Danio rerio: one gene and its partner. The protein of the gene in region 1 binds, or shares a complex with, the protein of each later gene. Links are inferred from orthologs where the notes say so. Each region holds a gene or a part of one and is shown on either strand. Other genes may lie near its edges.

The links.
Region 2: the proteins of syk (region 1) and tyrobp are in contact, whole or in part, in a crystal structure (PDB 7Q5W), measured with the Homo sapiens proteins. The link is inferred for Danio rerio from reciprocal best matches to the Homo sapiens genes SYK and TYROBP. Residues at the interface, in NP_001167638.1 of Homo sapiens: Arg22, Arg42, Asn46, His62, His63, Tyr64, Thr65, Ile76, Ala77, Gly78, Gly79, His92, Asp97, Gly98, Leu99, Arg175, Arg195, Arg197, Lys212, Leu214, His215, Tyr216, Arg217, Ile228, Pro229, Glu230, Gly231, Lys232, His243, Lys247; in NP_003323.1 of Homo sapiens: Pro90, Tyr91, Gln92, Glu93, Leu94, Gln95, Arg98, Ser99, Asp100, Val101, Tyr102, Ser103, Asp104, Leu105, Asn106.

What each region holds. Positions count from the first base shown.
Region 1 is NC_133185.1:6,050,391-6,061,952, forward strand, and holds the start of syk (tyrosine-protein kinase SYK), read right to left. Parts: upstream 6,036-11,562; 5' UTR 5,801-6,035; intron 1-5,800. UniProt on the Homo sapiens protein: Non-receptor tyrosine kinase which mediates signal transduction downstream of a variety of transmembrane receptors including classical immunoreceptors like the B-cell receptor (BCR).
Region 2 is NC_133191.1:26,487,002-26,498,595, forward strand, and holds tyrobp (TYRO protein tyrosine kinase-binding protein precursor), read left to right. Parts: upstream 1-4,875; 5' UTR 4,876-4,942; coding exon 4,943-4,988; intron 4,989-7,393; coding exon of another isoform or gene 7,394-7,396; coding exon 7,397-7,417; intron 7,418-7,529; coding exon 7,530-7,688; intron 7,689-7,779; coding exon 7,780-7,844; intron 7,845-8,623; coding exon 8,624-8,680; 3' UTR 8,681-9,061; downstream 9,062-11,594. UniProt on the Homo sapiens protein: Adapter protein which non-covalently associates with activating receptors found on the surface of a variety of immune cells to mediate signaling and cell activation following ligand binding by the receptors.

The DNA of each region.
Region 1 (11,562 bases):
ACAAAGATGTAAATATGATTGTGATGTGTTATATTGTCACATTTTTGTTATGTGGTTGAAAAAAAAAACAAAAAAAAAAACATGAACAATACTTTTTTGCATTTATTAATCGTCATTTAACATTTCTCAATGCATTATTCATCTTCAAAGTTGTGCTACTTTATTTACTTTACATTCATAAATAACTATCATTAATAAAGATGAATAAACACTGTAATAATTGTATTGTTATTTATTATTTTAATATATGTAATATATTATTGTTGTTTTATCTCGTCTCTAAACTAACATTAACTAATGCAACTTAAGTGTTACCATTTACACTGACAAAAATTATTCATTGGATTTACTTTATTTATTTGTAAGGTAGTTGGTTGCAAACAATTTATATGAGTTGAATTTAAATAAAGTTATGAAATTTAGTAATGTTCAACTTAATATGTTTGTTTAAATTCAGCCCAAATTAATTGTTTGCAACCACCTACCTTAAAAAATGTAATTCAGTGTTGTCTAATAACTAAAGACTGATTACAGTTTGATCAAATGTCCTGACAGAAATAAATGACTGAAATGCAGCTGCTTTACATTCTGCTTCCTTGTCTCCAATAATGAGCGCTTATAATGTGACTTGAGCGACCAGACAACATCCTCTGGCCCTTTTTTGCTGGCCAAAAAGCCACCTCAAACTCAGACGCTAATGCTAGACCTCAGGGCTTCGAGCGTCTGCATGAAAGAGAAGAGAGTTTGAGCAAACGCGATGAATTCAACCGCAGAAAGATTCCATGAAGAAGAAAGCAGATTGGCTGAGAAAGAGCAGGTCAGTGTTATTGTAACACGACTGATGTTTGTTATGGAAACTGTGGTCACAGACTTGTGAGCAAAGCAGCAGAAATCGCTAAAAGCAACAAAGCAGCAGAACGCCTAATTAAAATGAATGAGCGCAACTGGTCAGATGTGTAGGTTTACTGTATATTACAGTACGTGATTTGGGGATTTTCTGCTGAGATATTGTAAGATGTGCTTCACTGAGGCAAAATAATACCATTTTATTGAGTGCTATTATTTAGATTTAGTTATCAAATGAAAATATGCTAGTCAATATGGACACATAAGAACTTTTATAGACAATATTGAACATTTCTTCTAAAATTTAACCTTTGATTCTTAATTTTAAGTGTTTGAATAGGTTATTTTCATTGCATTTTAAATGAAATAACAGCATATAAACATAGGAAACTAATGCTAATTTCATAATATATATATATATTTATCATTTAGAGGTTTTTGCATCTGTTCTCTTCATACATTTATTTATTGTTTTTTAAATGTGTCATATAAATAAAACTGAAACGAATATTCATAATATAATATATAAAAACGAAATAATAAAAAAAAACATTTTTTTTTCTGTCTAACACAAAAGAAGATTTACATTTAGAAAAATGTTGAAAACCGGAAACCATTGACTTCCATAGTGTGAAAAATAAATACTATAGAAGTCAATGGTTACCAGATTGCAACATTCTTCAAAATATCTTCTTTCGTTTTTGACAAAAAAAAAACCCATAAAACTACAGTAATTGAAAACACTTAATGGTGTAAACATTAAGTAAATAAAATTTTTCTGTGAACTTTCTCTTCAGTTTTAGTTAATGTACTAACGTGAACAATACATTTAAAGGTTTTTGCATCTGTTATTATATATTTATTTATTTATTGTTTTTTGTGTGTGTTTTAAATCATGTCATATAAATAAAACTGAAATTGAAATGAATATTGAAATAATTTCATTTAAAAAAAACGAAATAATGTTGAAATGGTTAAGACAAACGTTGTCCATAGACAAAATTTCATTCATACACCGTAAACAATACTGATTGCCTTCATTTTTTTTCATTTGTCATTTGAACTTAAATTATATTAAACAGACTTAGAAAATCAAGTTAGAACACGATTAACGTAGTTTAATAAGTTACAATTAACTAAAAACATGTTGTCATGACTTATTGAGTATATACATATTTTCACAGTGTAGTTTTAATTCAAATGATTACATCATAATTTAAAACAAATTGATTTAGAAGAATTTTCGCTATGAGGCACTTTAACATTAATTAATTAGCATTGACCAACACAGAGCGACACAATATTTGGAAATCTTTAATCATTGTTTTCTTGTTAGTTCATGTTAGCCAAGTTCAGTTTAATAACAAACGGTAACACTTTATAATATCTACACACTATAAATCATTTATTAAGCATTAGCAAATAGTGAATTCATTATTCATTAAGCATTAACTCTACATTAATAAACGTTAGTAAGCAGTTTATAACTGCAGCTACAAATGCTCTATTCTTGACTTATAACCACATTTAAAATGTGCTTAATAATTGTATTTTCATACTTAGTAAATGATTAATTTTTCATTAATAAATTAAGTATCGCATTATTTACAAACCAGTTGTATTTAAGAGTAGTTGAGGGTTTTTAGGATCATTCAGAATGAGTTAGTAAATGATTAATAAACTATTGAAATCAACATTTATGTCTTATTATTCAGGCATATACTAATAGTCAACTAATAGGTTAATAAATGCTTTATTAACTCACCTTCATGCAGTTTTGTGACCTAATCTAAAGTGAGGACTGTTTATGCTTTATAAATGCCTTATAACTGACAAATAAAGGCTCAAAATCAAATGAACGATAATCTGTGCAAACTTTTCTAAAATGTAAAATTACTGTAAAGTTTAAACATTGCTGAATAACAGGAGTGTCAAAATACAACAAAACTGGATAAAACAACAATATAAAAATTAAACAATGTAATAAAATGTAATGTTTAAACTCAACAGTGATTTTATTTTAGATCAGGTTGCAAAGATTTATTTTTTATTTGAAGTACAGTTTCATTTGTGTATCTTTAATTGAATAGGAATGAATAATGTCGTTTTTCCTGTTTAGAATTTAACTGAGCCTTTGTTTGTCATTTATAAGGGATATATAAAGCATGAATAGTCCTCACTTTAGATTATGTCACAAAACTAGGTGAAGTTGAGTTAATAAAGCATTTATTAATATACATAGTAACCATTAATATATGCCTGAATAATAAGACACATAAACATTAAAATTAATAGTTTATTAATCATTTACTAACTCATTCTGAATGATCCTAAAAACTCTTAACTACTCTTAAATACAACTGGTTTGTAAATAATGCGATACTTAATTTAGTAATGAAAAATTAATCATTTACTAAGTATGAAAATACAATTATTAAGCACATTTTATATGGTTATAAGTCAAGAATAGAGCATTTGTAGCTGCAGTTATAAACTGCTTACTAACGTTTATTAATGTAGAGTTAATGCTTAACGGATAATGAATTCACTATTTGCTAATAAATGATTTATAGTGTGTAGTTATTATAAAGTGTGACCAATGTGTTTAGTATAAATTATATAATTTAGTTATTTTAAATTATACTTTAAATTAAATTGATAACAATAGGAGTACATTTTCGGTAAGTTTCAAATAAAAACTTTTAAATTCTTACAAAACGTAAAGATTAAACTACACAGTCAAAAATTCTGACTCAGATATTTAATCATTTATAAATTGCTTGTGAATTATTCAAATGACATGTGACTTTAAAACTAATATGGCTTTCTTCTTTAAAAGAGTTGCGAAACAGCGACAACAGAGAAACATCTGAAATATTTCTACAGCTTTCTTTTTCCACTACCCTCAAAGCTACAGAAGTAATGACAGATCGATGCCACAACAAAGTGCTCTTATTATACTGATCATTTAAAACACGTCGCAACTTTTATCTATTATTTGCTTACTGCCACATCAAAATGGTAAGTATTCTAATAATAATAATAACCACAATTGACGTGAGGATCATTTCAAATGGAATAATCAAACCATGCTCATGAAATATTTCAAGAGCCAATCATGTGAAATGCAATAATATAATAATTTTCTTCAGCTTTTTCAGTCATTTAGGGCTTAAAAATTGTTCAGTTAAGGTCATACTCCAGCACAACATTATACACACATTACACATTCATAAAGCACACATTTCATAGAAAATCAGGCAGATTCATGTGTTTAAATGTCTTAGTTTTGGCCAATGACATTATTTTTTTTTAAATATTTTTCATTTAGTTTCATAATTTGCTATAGAAATTAGTTCAGCTTAGTTTAGCACATAATACACATTTTACATTAATAAAACTACATTTTTATATACAATCAGACAGATTCTTCCTGTATAAAGTGTTTAAATGTCCTCAGTTTTGGCCAATAACATTATTTTAAAAATCTTTTTCAGTCATTCAAGTTCATAATTTGCTTTAGAAAATTAGTTCAGCTTAACATCATACTTTAGCACAACATTATACATTCATAAAACACTTTTTGTAGAGAATCAGACAGATTCTTACAGTATAAAGTGTTTAAATGTCCTAAGTTTCGACCACTAACATTATTATTATTTATATTATTATTATTTTCTTTGTTTACTTTTTAAGTCATTTAGGCTTCATAATTTGCTTTAGAAATTTGTTCAGTTTAACCTCATACTGCAGCACAACATTATACACACATTTCACATTCATAAAAGACATATTTCATAGAAAATCAGACAGATTCTCACTGTATTTTGTGTTTAAATATCCTCAATTTTGACCAACAACATTATTATTTTTATTATTTTGACATTTAAATTAATAATTTGCTTTACAAATTAGTTCAGCTTAACATCATACTTTAGCACAACATTATACACACATTATATATTCATAAAACATCCTTTTTGAAGGGAATAAGACTGTATAAAACTGTATACTGTATAAAGTGTTTAGGTGTCCTCAGTTTCAGCCAAAAACTTTATTATCATATTATTATTATTATTTATATTAGCATTTTGAGTCATTTAGGCCTCATAATTTGCTTTAGAAATTAGTTCAGTTTAACCTCATACTGCAGCACAACATTATACACACATTACACATTCATAAAACACATATTTCATAGAAAATCAGACAGATTCTCACTGTATTTTGTGTTTAAATATCCTCAATTTTGGCCAACAACATAATTTCTTATATATTTTGTGATCATTTAGTTTAGCTTAACATCATATTTTAGCACAACAATATACATTCATAAAACATTCTTTTTTGTAAAGAATCAGATTCTTACTGTAAAGTGTTTAAGTGTCCTCAGTTTCAGCCATTAACATTATTAATATTATTATTATTATTATTATTATTATTATTATTATTATTATTATTAGCTTTTTGAGTCATACAGGCCTCATAATTTGCTTTAGAAATTTGTTCAGTTATAGCCATACTCCAGAACAAGATTTTACACACACACATTACACATTCATAAAACACACATTTCTTAAAGAACCAGACACATTCATTCCACATGAAGTGTTTAAGTGTCCTCAGTTTCAGCCAATATCATTATTTTTTTTTTTTAGCTTTTTCAGTCATTCAGGTTCCTAATTTGCTTTAGAAATTAGTTCAGTTTAACATCATACACCAGCAGAACATTACACATTTATAAAACAAATCATTCATATAGGATCAGACACATTATGACTATATGAAGTGTCCACAGTTTCAGCCAATAAGATTGATATTATTATTATTATTATGAGCTTTTTCAGTCATTTAGGCCTCATAATTTGCTTTAGAAATATATTCAATTTAACATCATACTCCAGCACAACATTCATAAAACAAATCATTCATAGAGAACCAGACCCATTCTTACCGTATTAACTGTTTAAGTGCCCTCAGTTTGGCCAGTGGCTGTATACCATGTTCAACTGTCTGTAACTGAACAGGATGTGGAGCCTCTTTAAACTCAGTGGATAGTTCAAAAGAAGCTGCCAGTTCAGGAGTTCTCGCTCGCAGACTGAACGCTGAAACTGTAAGCACACACTGATGCCAGAAGCGCAAGATTTTTCGCCTTTTCTCTTGCCTTTTTTGTACTGACACAAACCTTTTCTTTAGTACTTCAGTAAGAGCGGCTATTTGCAGACTTCCTCATTTTAAGAAACTTGCCTACTTCCTTCACCATTTTTTTGTCCTATCTTTAACTTCCTCTTCTATCTCAGAACATAAATATATAATATGCAATACATGAATAGTCATGCAGTCAGTGAGGCCTAATGTACTGTACATTTTCTTATATTATTAATTAAATTAATCAATCATCATAGTATGTACACTCTTTAAAAAGTGATTACTTGCAATGACTATCAATTAGTAGTTGACTTTACTTTAAGAAAAGTGGGTAGGTCACACTTTACAATAAGGTTCATTAGTTAATGTTAATTAATGCATTTACTAACATGAACAAACAATGAACAATACATTTACTACTGTATTTGTTATTATTAGTTAGCGTTAATTAATGAAAATACAGTAGTTCATTGTTAGTTCATGTTAACTCATGGTGCATTAACTAATGTTAACAAGCAGGGAGTTGGATGTTAATAATGCATTAGTAAATGTTCAGTTATGATTAATAAATGCTGTACATGTGTTGTTCATGATTAGTTCATGTTAGTAAGTGCATTAACTAATGAACCTTATTATAAATTGTTACCAGTGAGTACAATTGATTTGTCTTAGAATTATTAAGTAAATTTACGGCGTGCATGAGTGAAAAAGTAAGGTCAACTTGAGAGTTCCACGTTACAAAAGGATTTACTCACATATTTAGGTAAAATCAATGAATTGCTTTTAACAGAAAGTGCTGGGTTGCTTTAACTAAATTATAGGTGGAATATGGACAAACAATTTAACCCAACAGTTGAGTTTGTCAACATTAAAAAAAAATGAGCTGCTTGTTGATTTATGTTCAATCCACTTAAAAAAAAAAAATATTATCGCTTTTGTGTTGGGAGAACATGAATGATTTGTGTTGAGTTTTACTGTGATATTTCACCCAAAACTTGTTTGTTTGTTTTTTTAGATTGTTTGATTAAAATAATACTGAATACTTGAAAATGATTTTGCTTGTTCAAACTACTAAATGAGCTGTATCAACACAATTCTAGACTTTTTGTAACAACTTAAGTGTTTCATGTTCAATCCACTTGAATTTGTAAAAATAATTACGTTAACTAAATCGATTTGTGTTAGGATGACATGAAGGAATTGTGGAATTGTGTAGTGAATATTTAACTTTTTGCTCATTCCTTCACATCACTTTTGTGCCAAGATGTACATTTGGCACATATTTTAAAAAAGTTTATTCAATATGTACGATTTTTCTGAAATCAAATCTCTCCTTAAAGCATAGTTGAAGTCAGAATTGTTATCCCCCCTTTGAATTTTTTTTCTTTAAAATATTTCCCAAATTTTTATAGTTTAAATGTTTCCCAAATGATGTTTAAAAGAGCAAGGACATTTTCACAGTATGTCTGATAATATTGTTTCTTCTTGAGAAAGTCCTATTTTTTTATTTAGGCTAGAATGAAAGCAGTTTTTAATTTTTAAAAAACATTTTAAGGTCAAAATTATTAGCCCCTTTAAGCTATTTTTTTTTCCGATAGTCTACAGAACAAACCATCATTATGCAATAACTTGTTTAATTACCCTAACCTTAACCTTATTAACCTAGCTAAGCATTTAAAATGTCACTTTAAGCTTTATAAAAGTGTCTTGAAAAATATCTAGTTAAATATTATTTACTGTCATCATGGCAAAGATAAAATAAATCAGTTATTAGAATTGAGTTAAGTGTAGAAATGTGTTGAAAAAAAACTTCTGTCCATTAAACAGAAATTGGGGGAAAAATAAACAGGGGGGGCGAATAATTCGGACCTCAACTGAACATCATTTTTATTGATTTTATTTATTTATTATTTATATTTTGATCTTTATTATTATTGTTATTATTCTACTATTTTTATTGATTTTCTTTATTATTATTGTTATTGTAAATATTGTATGTCTTCAGCACCAGAAAGGCGCTTTATAAAATAAACATTACTGTTAACATTATATACAATAAACATTATTATTAGTATTACTATTGTTCACCCAGGGATGGGTAGGCATCCGCTCCATAAAACCTATCCTGGATAAGTTGGCGGTTCATTCTGCTGTGGCGACCCCAGATTAATAAAGGGACTAAGCCAAAAAGAAAATGAATTATTTATTGTTGTGATTGCCAGCAGTGTTTTCTCTGCTGGAGTTCACTTCCTACATTCCTGCCGAACTACAAATCCCAAAAGTCATTGCATCAATCACTCCTGCCCAGTGGTGAAAAGAGTACTGAAAGATCATACTTAAGTGCAAGTACTATTACTAAATCAAAATATCAATGTTGAATTGATCCAATATCATGCAGCCCCATACTGTCAAAGCATTCAAAAATAGTAAACACTTAAAGATACTCCATGAACCAAACTGTATGTTCACTAGTGGAAAGTGTGTGATCAGGAAAAACAGATGTGTGATGCGGTTCATTGAGCTGTGATGGACACAGTTTACTGTACTTCTGTAATGAGTCTTCAGTGCATCTGTCTGCGTGATGGAGTAGTATATCTTCTGTTTACACTGAGGCATGTTTCATAAACAGAGAGAACCGCGGCACACCTGCAAGAGCAATCATCAGAGGATTTCACAACCCAGTGACATTTCCACTCTGAATGGTGGATTGCAGGTTAAAGAGACGGTTCACTCAAGAATGAACATGTGCTCACTATTTTCTCACCCTCAAGGGGTTGCAAATCTGAGCTTCTTTCTTCTGTTGAACACAATAGAAGATATTTTGAAGAATGGTGGAAACCGGTAACCATTGGCTGTTAGTGAATACCGTTACTGAAGTGAGTCTCCAACATTCTTCAAAATATCTTCTTTTGTGTTCAACAGAAAAAAGAAACTCAGTCAGGTTTGGAACAAGTAGAGTTGACAGAATTTTCATTTTGGGGTAAACTATTATGGGTATTATAGGATTAAGTGATGGGTAAGTTACTTTAAAAAATATCTTTACTGATAAAATATATTTAATATATATTTATAATATATATTTAATTATATATTTAATATATATTTAAAAATATATTTAATGATAATTAAAATTGTATTTAAATGAATTTTCTAATTACTTTTTGACTGAAAAGTAACTTGATTACTCAATAAGTAATTTCAGCATGACATTTTAGTGTTTAACAGTGAAAGAGAGTCATTTGTAGACCAAGTATGTTACATATTTAATATCTGACAACATTGAGAATTCGGTCTGCCTCAACTGTTCAGCATATCAGCACTCATGGGCTTCAAAATGACTGGCCAATCAAATCAAAGAGGGTGGAGTCTCAGTTTATCTAGCAATGCTCAGTTTTTAACAGTGAAATAGTGTCAGGTATAAGATGTAAGCAGTATTGCAATGTTTATTATTTCACAACAAAGGAAATTTAGTTTGCCTCAATTGTATTACAGCATTTATGACAAACCAAATAAATAAATGAAAGAATGAACAACTGAATGAATTAATAAAAAAATATGAAAATTTAATGACAGCAAACATGAATTTCAGATAGCAAATATGATTTTTATGCAGTGCTTCAGTTTTTGTCACAAGTTAAGCAGGCCACACATAGCCGGAAACTTGGTAATAACTAATTATAGACATTGTAATTATTATTGTTATGTAACATATAATAAATGTATAAAAGGAAAAGGTTTAATGCAAAATACTGGACTTTTTTCCTCTTTATTGAAATATTTTATGAAATATTAACAAAATGTTTGTATTTTTAACATTGTATTTGGAGATTATTCTATATTTTAAATTTATTATTATTTTTTTTTTAAATAAAAGTAGGTATAATTTTGGGTCAGTTTTCTTTTCTTTTTTTAAAGTAAATTATTTTGTTTACCACAGCGGCATTTATTAAATGTAATTTTTTTTTTATATTTATTAAAATTTTAATTAACTGCTTTCTTATTTTATGTAGTTTCAAATTAAAATTATTACCACAGTCATTATTGCTTTTATTATTCTCACCATTATTAAAGTTTTTTTCTGAAGGATCATGTGACTGAAGACTGGAGTAGTGAAGCTGAAAATTAATTTTTAAAATCACTGGAATAAATGTTTAAATTAAATTATAAACTACGTTTGAACAGTTAATTTATAGTGCAATATAATTGCAGATAAATGCAACCTTGAGCAGGATAATCTTATTTTAAAACATTTAAAATCCTATTGACCCCAACCTAAATATAGTTGAAGTCAGAATTATTAGCCCACATTTTAATTTACTTTTTTTTTTTAACAGAGCAAGGAAAGTTTCACAGTATGTCTGATAATATTTTTTCTACTGGAGAAAGTTTTATTTGTTTTATTTCGTCTAGAATAAAAGCAGTTTTAAGGTCAATATTATTAGCTCCTTCAAGCTATAATGTTTTCGATAGTCTACAGAACAAACCATCATTATACAATAACTTGCCTAATTACCCTAACCTGCCTAGTTACCCTAATTAATTTTTTTTATATTTATTATAATATTTTAATATTTTAATACACCCCCCACTCTCCTCTAACTTAAACTCCTCACAATCACTGCACTGTTTAACATTTGCACATTTAAAATTTGCACATTGCACAATGCACATTGCACCACATTGCACTGATTTACTTATTTGAACTGTACATACCCACTGCACATGGACATTTGTAATTATATACACACCCACTGCACATATACATTTGTAATCATGTTTATTTATCTGCACACTTCTGATTATTAATAGCAACCTGTACATTCTGCACATAGCAATACATACATATTCATTGTAAATCTCTGTTCATAGTACAACCTGTATATAATATTGATAGTACATCCATCTGTAAATATCACCATCGTTTTTCATGCACTTTATAACTTACCTGTATCCTGCACTTTCTGCTATTGCACTGCTGGTTAGACCTAACCTGCATTTCGTTGCTTTGTACTTGTACATGTGTAATGACAATAAAGTTGAATCTAATCTAATCTAATTAACCTAGTTAACGCCTTTAAAATGTCACTTTAAGCTGTATAGAAGTGTCTTGAAAAATATCTAGTAAAATATTATGTACTGTCATCATGGCAAAAATAAAATAAATCAGCTATTAGAAATGAGTTAATAAAACTATTATGATTAGAAATGTGTTAAACAAAATCTCCCCGTTAAACAGAAATTGGGGTAAAAATAAACAGGGGAGCTAATAATACTACAACTGTATATTGCTGTCAGTTTTGAAGTATAAAATATTTTTTATGTTCACAGCAGGGGGCAGCACAATACCTCAGATTATCTGAAACACGTTCATAGCAACCACATCTATTATAGCAATAGATGTTGTGGTTAGAAGCCGTTTATTTTCCGAAACTGATCAAAGCTGATCTCATCAAGCCCACATGTACAGAACAGAAATCTCTGAATTGTGTCTGTAAATCGTTTACTGTAATACACAAATGAAAATGTGTGACATTGTACAGCAGCTTTTGTTTTTCATTTAAAAGCATT
Region 2 (11,594 bases), on another chromosome or scaffold:
TTGCACTCTGCAGGTCTCTCACACGCCCCCATGCTGAATGTAATCCCAAGCCATGATTTTTCCTCCACCAAACTTGACTGATTTCTATGAGAATCTTGGGCCCATGTGAGTTCCAACAGGTCTTCTGCAGTATTTGTGATGATTGTGATGCAGCTCAACAAATGATTCATCTGAAAAATCTCCCATCAGCCACTTTTCCAAATGATCAACTAGCAGATATTATTTGTTCGTCTTTACAACTGGGATTGATGACAGGACGTTTGTCAGGTAATGCACATCTTTGTCATCATAACTGTGGTTATAAAACTGGTTTTACACTCAGAGTGATTTTCAGAACTTTGTCGTTATCTTTGTAGTTTTCATGCTTTGTGTGATAGACCTTAAGAAGTACTGTATTTTTGTTTAACTACTCCAGCATTTTTCCAGGCTTTACTAATTTGAAATTCCTGTCATTCTAGACCTGCATGGACAAAAGAGGATCCTGGATTATCTTGTTTGCTTTACACAGTACTCGTAATTTACCTGCAGGTTAACAATGAACCATTGTGTGTTCTTATGCTTATGGTTCACACTTTTCAAAGCTGAACCTGACTCAACATCCTTATTTGGTATATTCATGGTGTCAGTGTTTGCATAAAGGCTCAACGCTGCAGATCCTCATTTGATATATTACAGACTATATTAGGCTGCTTTCCTGAATGGACATTTTGGCTAAAAAAAAAAGGCTCTGATTGATGCTTTTTATAATTGACATTTTCCAGCTCCAACGCTGCAAGGATTGATGATTGAAAAAAATTGATGATTGTTTGTTGATTGCTATGCATCTCATAACATTGTCATAATCAGTGTTGGGGGGATACATTACAACTAAAGCGAGTTACGTGCAGTTGTAATCAGAATTATTAGCCCTCTTGAATTATTAGCCCGCCTGTTTATTTTTTCTCTGATTTCTGTTGAACGGAGAGATTTTTTTCAACACATTTCTAAACATAATAGATTTAATAAATAATTTCTAATAACTGATTTATTTTATCTTTGCCATGATGACAGTAAATAATATCTAGATGTTTTTCAAGACACTTCTATACAGCTTTAAGTGACATTTAAAGGCTAAACGAGGTTAATTAGGGTAACTAGGCAGGTTAGGATAATTTGGCAAGTTATTGTATAACGATGGTTTGATCTGTAGACTATGAAAAAAATATAGCTTAAAGGGGCTAATAATTTTGACCTTAAAATGTTTTTTTTTTTTAATGAAAACTGCTTTTATTCTAGCCGAAATAAAACAAATAAGACTTTCTCCAGAAGAGAAAATTATCAGACATACTGTGAAAATTTCCTTGCCCTGTTAAACGTAATTTGGAAAACATTTAAAAAAAGAAAAGGAAATTCAAAGGGGGTTTTATAAATTTGATTTTAACTGTACTCTCTCAGAAATAAACGTATGCACGCTGTCACTGGGATGGTCCATTTTTAAAAGGTACAAATACTTTTGTATTTCATTATTGGTACCTCTAACGTATATATTATTAGCACCTAAAAATTTTATGAGGACACTGTTGTACTTTTTAGGTACCAATATGTACCCTTGAGGTATTAATATGGACCTTTTAGGTACAAATTTGTATCTTTTGAAAAGGTACCACCCCAGTGAAAGCTTGCTTACCTTTATTTCTGAGAGTTTAATAACGTTACTTCTCTAAAGAACGAATAAAGTAATGCATCCCTTTATTAAAATTTGTAATAATATTTGAGTTACTTTTTTGAAAATGTAATGCGAGTTACTTTTTAACTTAATTAGCTTTTTAAAAATAAACTGCTGAATTATATGAAAGTAGTCACAATGAATTACGCAGTCAATGAGAAAATGTTCATTATTTTGATCGCATTGAAGAAAAGGTAAAAGGGATTGCCTCAATGGGCAGTAATTTTACTTAAGACAAATAGTACAAAAGTAGCAAACACATTGTTTTTCACTTTCAATAATCTGTATGATGGCGCAGTAGGAAGTGTTGTCGCCTCACAGCAAGAAGGTCGCTGGTTCGAGCCTTGGCTGGGTCAGTTGATATTTCTGTGTGGAGTTTGCATGTTCTCCCTGTGTTTACGTAGGTTTCCTCCGGGTGCTCCGGTTTCCCCCACAGTCCAAAGACATGTGGTATAGGTTAATTGGGTAGGCTAAATTGTCCGTAGTGTATGAGTGTGTATGGATGTTTCCCAGAGATGGGTTGCAGCTGGAAGAGCATCCGCTGCATAAAACATGTGCTGGGTAAGTTGGTGGTTCATTCCGCTGTGGTGACCCTGGATTAATAAAGGGACTTAGCCGAAAATAATATGAATGAATAATCTGTATATACGGCATGTAGAGCTCTGGGCTCAGGAAGTTCTCAGTTAATATTATCCTAAAAACTTTTTTTTTGGTGTTTTTTTAAAGGTAAATGTAGGTGTAGGTTATACAGTGCGCTGTTAATTGCAGAGCTCATATTAAAAAAGAAAGAGTGAAAAAAACAAGTTCTGTAAGAGATCATGCCTCAGCCAAGTAATCAAAAGTAATGCAAAAGTAACATATTATTCACCATAAAAAAGTAACTAAGTAACGCAACTAGTAACTTTTTTGTAGAGTAACTCAATATTGCAATGCAATACTTTCTAAACTTTCTCCAACACTGCTCATAATACTGGATTGTTTCTGTAAACATTTCATTGCTGCGTTTCATTTTTTACTTGAATCAAATAAAGTTTTCTAGTCATCTCTTCTTACCTTAATTCGGCTGATGAAAAATATTTTGACAAATAAAATTTTTAAAGTTGTAACCTGATTAACTTAATTATCTAACTTGATTAAAATAAGTTCAAGCTACATAAAAAGAAGTATTTGTCTTGACTTTTTGTCATAACGTTTTTACAGTTTAACTGCAGGAATATGCAAAGTCTGAAACCCTTCTGTGAATTGCTAATCCAAATCAAAGATTTAAAATAAAAATAAAAATTTATGATCGTATATGTTTGCAGGCTATTTTTATGTGTACTGTTATAAATATGAAAAGGATCTAATGACTGTTCTCTGGAATCTCCCAGAAATTCCCACGTCCAAAACAACCACAAGACTGTGACTCTTTCTCTGAAAAATGAGGAAGTCTAAAGAAAAGAATCTTTACAATTCACTCTTTTGTATATTTCCCCCCTAATTTATTTATGACCATTCTGTTATACCCACAAAAACGATTACTCTTTTAAATACTTATTTTAAGAGTTCCCACTTAGATATGCTTGGCATTTATAACAGGTTTGGCATGCTGTCACGGAGATATTTGAGCCCAGGGCTCCCGCCCGGTCTAGAAGCATATCAGGAGAACCGAGATCAGGTAGGTCTCGATCGCTCCCCCTTTAGAAGGGGAGAAAAAGGAGGAGATGGAGTGGAAGGGGGGATTCTTCCAAAAAGAAAATAGAGCAATAAGGAGAAAGTGATCCATTTATATTAAGCTCGGATCATTCTGATTGGATTATTACTGATTACGGATGAGTGGCCAGCAGTGCACAATCATATCACGTGCTCTTCTCGAAATTAGTTTGTGAAACTTCACTTATTGGTAATATTTTTGGACTTAATTAACTTTCATTCATTCAATTTTCTTCCGCTTAGTACCTTTATTTATCAGAGGTCGCCACAGCAGAATGAACCGCCAACTAATCCAGTATATGTTTTAAGGAGCGGATGCCCTTTTAGCCGCAACCCAGTACAGGGAAACAACCATACACTTTCACATTCACACACACACACACACACACACTCTCATACACTATGGCCAATGTAGCTTCTTCAATTCATTTATGCTGCATGTCTTTGGACTTTTGGGGAAACCCACACAAAAACGAAGAGAACATGCAAACTCCTCACAGAAATGCCGACTGACCCAGCAGGGGCTTGAGCCAGCAACCTTCTTGCTGTGGGGTGACAGTGCTAGCCACCGTGTTGCCTACTTAAGTATGCCTAAAAATGAGGATTTAGCCTTTCTGCAAAGACAACAAAACATTGTCAAAACATTGTATCACCTGTTCACTGACATACTCTTAAAATCTGATCATTAAAGACATATCATCAGTTCTTTTTATTTTGGATTTTGAGACTCGTGACCTCAAGTGGGCCCGGATAAGCGAAAGAACATGACTTTCTGAGACTGATGCGTTTGACTACAGATAACAATCTTTAGGAGGTTCACATGCAGTAAGACAAAGGTCAAGAATTTACAAACCAAGCTTCAGAAAGTCAATAATATCCCGAACCTTTGTTTATATGTCTTGTAAACAGGACTTTGCTTTAGTCGTGTCACTTCTGCATCACTTAATCACACAGTAAAAAGATCAACATCCTTTTCAGTCAAATAAGTATTATTAGCAGAATCAGACAATTGTTTTTGCTTTTTTCTACCTATGTGTGGTTATCAGATACTGGCTTTAGCAGTCACATCCTGTGCTGTGAGCCTTTTAACCACATTAACACCCAGGTCCCACTTAGTCTTTATACATTTCCCGCACATTGCCAAGTGAAAGTACATCAAGAAGGACATTCGAAAATGCAACTGTGACATTAAAAAAAAACCTCAGTTTTATCTTTGAATGTCTTATAATTAAAGCCTAAAAACATTCTAACTCTGACTGGATAAAATACAAACTATTTAAAGGAAAAACTAAAGTGTGTGCGTCCGTATGTGTGTGATAGCAAATACAAGCACATGTAGCTCCTCCTCAGAAACCTTTGCTTCTATTTTGATGGATGGCGATAAGTCATCAGCTCACACTTGGTGATTTTTCACACAGAGACAATTTCCATATCATTGGTTGTGATATTCAAGGTGTTTCAGCTCGTGGCCAGAAAGGCTTCTTGTATTCGAGTCAGGGCTGTGTAAACCCTGAGCAATCTTTCCTAAACCTGTCTGCACTCATTATGAGAAGGATACTGTTTATAATGTTCCCCGTCAACGGACTGTTTGGTGAGTCCATTTTGAGAATTTTTATAAACTGTACGGGTTTAGGTTTTTAAACAGTTAAAAACTGGCTTTTGGCATCATTTTCTCTCAAAAAACAAACTAGATGTTGATTTAATAGTTGTTTAGAACATAAAACCAGACTTTTTGTTGAGTATAGACTGCAAAATTGTAGGGTTTTAATTTTAAATTTGCTTTTTTATATCTATATAAAGCTTTTATACAAACAAATAATAATGTTATAAAAAAAACATTTTAAAGAATTAATACGATGGTTTACACAAACACGAAATCTCTGTCATTTACACATCCTTTTTGAGTATCTTTTTTTCAGTTGAATACAAAATAAGATATTTTGAAAGATGTTGGAAACCGGTGATTATTGACTTTCATGGTATATGTTGTTCCTGCTATGGATGTCAACAGTTATCCGTTTCTAACACTCTTTAAAAGAATCTGTTCAAGTTCAACTGAGAAAAAAAAACTCATAAAGGTTTGGAAACACTAGGGTAAAATACTGTTTTCTTTTTTTTTTTTAGGTAAGCTATGCCTTTAAGTGTCAACTTATTTCTTCTTTTTGAAATGAGCTTTGCCTTTATTTTTGAAGGCAGCCATATCAAGTTACTGTCTTGCATTTCATGTGCCTTTGTGAACACGATTGTTTGTTAGGTTAAACAAGTTTTGGATGTTAAACTCAAGTTTCTACATTTTCAGAAATGAAATTTTCAGTTCTCTTGACTAAGTGTTGAAACAAACATTACAAGTTGAGTCTTCCACTCACATTTAGTTCAGTAACTCATGTTGAAGGCAGAAGATGAACTTTCGTTTCTGGATTTAACCACATAAAACATTTTACCATTTTGTAGAAAAAACAAAATATGACTGAACTATATTGAGTATATTTTGCACACTTTCACAAAATTAGGTTTATATATAGAGATTATTGCAAAAAACTGCACATAATGTATATATGTGTGTGTTTGTCTGTTTATCTATTGACAGATCGAGATTTTACAACTAAATATTCTAGTCTAATATTTAAATATTATATTTTGTTGTGAAATTTTTGCAGAGTGTACATTTTTCCAACACCTCATTTCAATCTAATGTATTATTTTTCTTATTCTAAAGAATCTTATTCTTATATGACCACACTCTCATGTTAACACTTTAGAATAACTAGTTGTTATAACTAGTTAATAGTCCATTAATAAATTGTTAGTTAATAAGTTATAAATGACTTGTTAAATAAAAGTTAATAGTTTGTTATTTTTTTTATAACTGTGCCTTATATATAGTTAATAGATAACTTACAAGCTGTTAGTTAACAAGTTATAAATGACTTGTTAAGTGTAATTTAATGATTTATAACTATACCTAATAAATTAGTAATAGACCATGAACAAGCTGTTTGTAAAGACTTTCTAAGTATCAGTTAAATGTTTATATATGTTATTACATGTAAAGTTGCAACTATTCTTCATTTATTAACTGTTAGTAAATGAGGAATAGTTGCAACTTTAGAATCACGTCCCAATAACATACATAAGCCAATAGCAGGGTGTTTTCACACGTCTAGTTTGGAAAAGGTCTGGAAAGTGGGTGTGTCTAGCTCTGTTTGGGTGGGCGTGTCGGGGGAGGTAAAATGGGAAGGATTTGACTGAAAATGGGAGTTCCCATTTGGGCACGCGCTGATTTTCACACGCAGATGCAGGGGAGATCTATTACTAATTTATTAGGTATAGTTATTTTTAACTTGTTATTTATAGTCATTTATAACTTGTTAACTAACAGCTGGTAAGTTATCTGTTTCTATCTATAAGGCACAGTTATAAATAATTAACAAACTATTAACTTTTATTTAACAAGTCATTTATAACTCATTAACTAACAGCTTTTAATAATCTATTATAACAGATTCTAAAGTGTTACCAGTTAATGAATATTGAAATGTTTACTAATACTGTTTTGTAAAAAAAACATCTTAAAAAAAAACTTATCTGAATTTTAAATGGATAGTTCTTCCCAAAAACTGAACATTTCCTCACCTTTACTCAAACTCAAATTGTTCTAAGCTAAAAATCATCACATGACTATAGGTACAATCCCTAAACCTATAGGTACAATCCCTTAACCAATCCCTAAACAATCGCCCTGAACCTAACATCATCAGTGCAGTTATCGTGTCACATTCTGTGCAACCACTATTAATAATATTATAAAATAAAACTAATCCTAAAAAACAGCAGTTTCAAAGGTAAAAAATTGCAAATCTATGTTTTATTTGTGGATTTTACGTAGATAAGTTGTTATTACTGCAAGTAATCAAAGAAATTGCATTTTATTTCTGTAGATCAACATCAAAAATCAAACTGTTTTAACATTTTCTCTTTCATTTTCTCTTTGATCAGCAGGCTTTGTAGAGGCAAATCAAGGTAACAACTTTTCCATACATCTTTGATACTCAGTTGATAAATATTTATTTTTTGTTTGTTTGGTAGTTTTTTTTAATGCATATTATATGCTAATGCATTTTCTGCTTTTCAGACTGCAGTTCCTGTTACCAGATGGACATTGGAGTGGCTGTGGGGATCATCACGTGTGATATTATTGTCACGCTCCTCATTGCTCTCTCCGTCTACTGTTTTGTTTCTCGCCAGAAAAAGAGAGGGAGTTTACATGCACACGGCAGATGCTGTAGCTCAGGTAAGCCTGATTGTAGGAAAATATTTAAAAAAAACAGTCACTATGAGTTTCAGAGTTTCAGTCTTAATCATATGTTTTTCTGATGTTTAAGGCAAAGCAAAGCTTCAGCAGACATCTATGAGGGCAAAACCAATTGAAGTAGAATCACCTTACCAGGTAAAATGAGCAAAATATGTACACAAAAAATATGTTTGCTATTTGTTCAAACTACTTATTTAAAATAAGCTAAAGCAACACAATTTATGAGTTTTATAGGGGGAATCTTAATTGTTTTATGCTTAATTTACTTAAATTGGTAAAAACTCATAAGTTAACTTAATTCCGTCATGTCGATTGTGTGGAACCCAACATTGTTTGCAGTGTATTTAATGCAATGCAATATACGTGAGATCAGTTTTGTTGAAGTTCACAAACTAAGGCAAGACATTGCTTACCAAAACTATTTGTCATGGACCAGTGAGTATGGAGATTTTTGACTTTTCTTAAAATGTATTTTTGTTCAGTTTAATGTTAAGAAAACTTCCAAAATACATTTTAAAGTGTTTCTTTTGTCGCACTTTATTAGTGTTTATCCATACATTTTAATTACAATGCATATTTTAAAAGCATTTTATTATTACACACATCAAGTGACACAATTTTACAGAGGTATTTGTTCATTCGTTTATTTAAAAATAAATAAATATAAAAAAAATAAATAACCTATATGATAAAGTGAGAGTGTCTTAATAATATAGCGGAAAGTAGTATGAGGTAAATGTTACTCAAAGTGACAGATGCAGATGTATTTGTGTGAGATGTGTTTAAGTAAATAATCAAGTAATTACACTATTAGTTAATTTTGTTGTACCCTATATTTACCTTGCCTTAAAAAGTCTTAATGTTTTCTTGAAGTGCTTATATGTGTACTCAATTTATTCACAATGTTTTGACAGGAGCTTTATGGAGTGCAGTCAGACATATACAGTGATCTTCAGCAGTATCGGAAATAAACAAGGTCACCTAACATTATCAATGAACGAGTTGTGTTCACACCAATATTTGGAGATTGCATAGGTTCATGACGGTTTCATATTGTGGCATACAAATATGTATTTGATATAAATAAGCTATAATAATTGAATCATGCAAAACAATTTCCATGAATCATCATGATTGGTACATATAAAAATCATCAAAATAAATGTTAATGGTTTGTGGAAAGGAAATGATCTTCAGGAACTTGAAGATTTAATTCCACATTTTATTATAGTTGTAAAAGTTTTTTTTTTTTTTTGTATCTTTATATGTCAGTTTTGTATTTATTCATAGTATATCTTTGTATTGGAAGATTCCCTTGCTCCTTATGGTAAAATAAATGTGTTTGATTTTAATTTGTGGCTTTTAAGTTTTTTCTTGTATGTGTTATGTGCTTGTCAGCATAGTGAGATAACAGAAGGATGAAACCACCTTTTATGTCCGAGGAAGTGGATGCAGTTGCAGTAGCTGACCTGAACTGCAGTCAGCTAGACAAAAGCCAAATACTTTTATTATTATTATAATTCTTTAGGCCAGAATTTCCTGAATTATTAAATTCAACACCTTCATCCTAAAATATATGGTCTGAGTAGAGTCACTGATATATTGTTCTGTATTCTAGGTAAAATAAATGAAACTGAAGAGTTCTTGACACCTCGAGCAGTTTAATTGAGCTCTTAGTTTAAGTGTGACCACTTGCAGCGTCCACAAGAGTGCACTATTATCTCATTGTGCTTTATGTCACATCCACTGTTATTTATTTAGGAATTTACTGTTTTTCTTTCAGCGCTTCTTCCTGTATTGGTGTATCATTGAACTAAAGCAGTTTCAGTGTTTGTTTGTCTTTGCATACAATGAATGTTTATTGTTGGAATACTAAGTATGATAGTGTAAATGCAAATGCTGGACAGACTGTTTACCATACACATAATTAGCCAATTTACACAGAGCCGGAACTGTCATTTCAGTTTTGTGTTGAATTTTTAAATAAATGACTGTCAGTCTACCAACTGCTTTGATTTAAAATATTTAAAGAAATAAAGAAAAAGTAAAGAAAAAGAAATTAACATTCCACTAGGAGCTTGAAATCTCTTAAAGGGATAGATCCCCTAAAACAAAAGATTTTATTTTGAGGGGATCGTTCCCAACAAAATGACAACTTATTTACTCACACTCCAATGTTCCATTCAATTCAATTCAGCTTTATTTGTACAGCGCTTTTACAATATAGATTTTGTCAAAAGGCTTCACATAAATGGTCATAGTAAATTGGAACAGTGTAGTTCAGTTTTTTAGTGTTTAAGTTCAGTTCAGTTTAGATCAGTTCAGTGTGGTTAAAAATCACTACTTAGAGTCCAAACACTGAATCGATGCAGAGCTCTACCGATCCCAAACCATGCAAGCTAGAGGCGACAGCGGAGAGAAAAAAAACTTCACTGATTGGCGAAAGTGAAGAAAAAAAAAAAAAAAAAAGTTAAAACCAGACTTAGTTGGGGGCACGACCATATTAATTTCTCCACTGGCCAAATGTCTTGTGCCAGAGCTGCAGTCTCAGCGGCGGAGGCTGGAAGCTGGCCTCAGCGAAGACTCGTCTGTCCTTGGAGCGTCACTGGAATCAGTCTCATGCTCTCCACTCCTTCATGATCACCGCAGCAGCTGCTCAGGATATGGCCTGGTCCAGGATATGGAAACCTTGGGATCATCTCGCAGCTGGTCTTGGATCTAATCAGTGACTCTGCATAGTCTGAGGTCCTCGGGAAGAGTATCCCCAGGTGGAAATAGAGAATAAAGAGAATAATTAGCATAGCTGCTCTTCATAGTGTATATAAACAAGATGCAGAAACCTGTGTGAAACCCCGTTAAGTGATGCATTGAGTGTATGCTTTACTAAACAGAAAGGTCTTTAATCTAGTTTTGAATTGGGAGAGTGTGTCTGAGCCTCGGACGTTATCAGGAAGTCTATTCCAAAGTTTAGGAGCCATAAATGAGAAGGCTCGACCTCCTTTACTCGACTTTGCTATTCTAGGTCCTACCTGAGTTTAGAGATCTTAAAGAGCGAGTTTGATTGTAGTGAGACAGAAGGTTGGTTAGATAAACAGGAGCTAGATTATTTAAAGATTATTTAATGTTCTAAATGTTTATTTATTTATTTCTACTTTTTAACAAAATAATCAAGATATTCTGAAGAATCTTGGGGAAAAGCAGCCATAGAATTTTAAAGGAACAAAAATACTGTTGAAGTCAATTGCTACTGCTTTCTGACAAATAAGAAAACGGTAACACTTCACAATAACAGTAGATGAATAATGCTGTGTTAATACATAAACTCAACATCACTTTATTATGAACTAATAATGGCTACCTTAATTGCTTGTACAAGCTTGCTTGTTAAATAATGTATTAATTACCATATTAGTGTATATGCCTAATTTAACTATCATGAAATTATAATATGTTAATGTATAATTATGTCATCACGACTTTACTTGGAGGGACAGATCCCCATTTATACATTCTTAACTACACATGAAGACCTTATGTATGCCCGTCTTGTGCATTTACACTGAATAACAACAGAAAAGTGTTCATTCAACATCAACGTTAACAGTTTAAACACAGTAGTTCACGAGTAGCTAATGGTGACGTGCCCCTCCAAGTAAAGTCATGACATAATTATACATTAATTGCTCATGAGTTCATGTTGATTACAATTAGCTTAAATGTAAATGTTAATTAATAAATTGTTAACAACATGTACTAGCAATTAGGGTAACTGTTATTTACCTGTGAATCATGTTGTAGTTAAAGTTAGTTCATGATTAGTGAGCGCCATAACTCATCAGTAATTCAGTAATACAGTAAAATTTAGTTGACATATTAAAACATCAT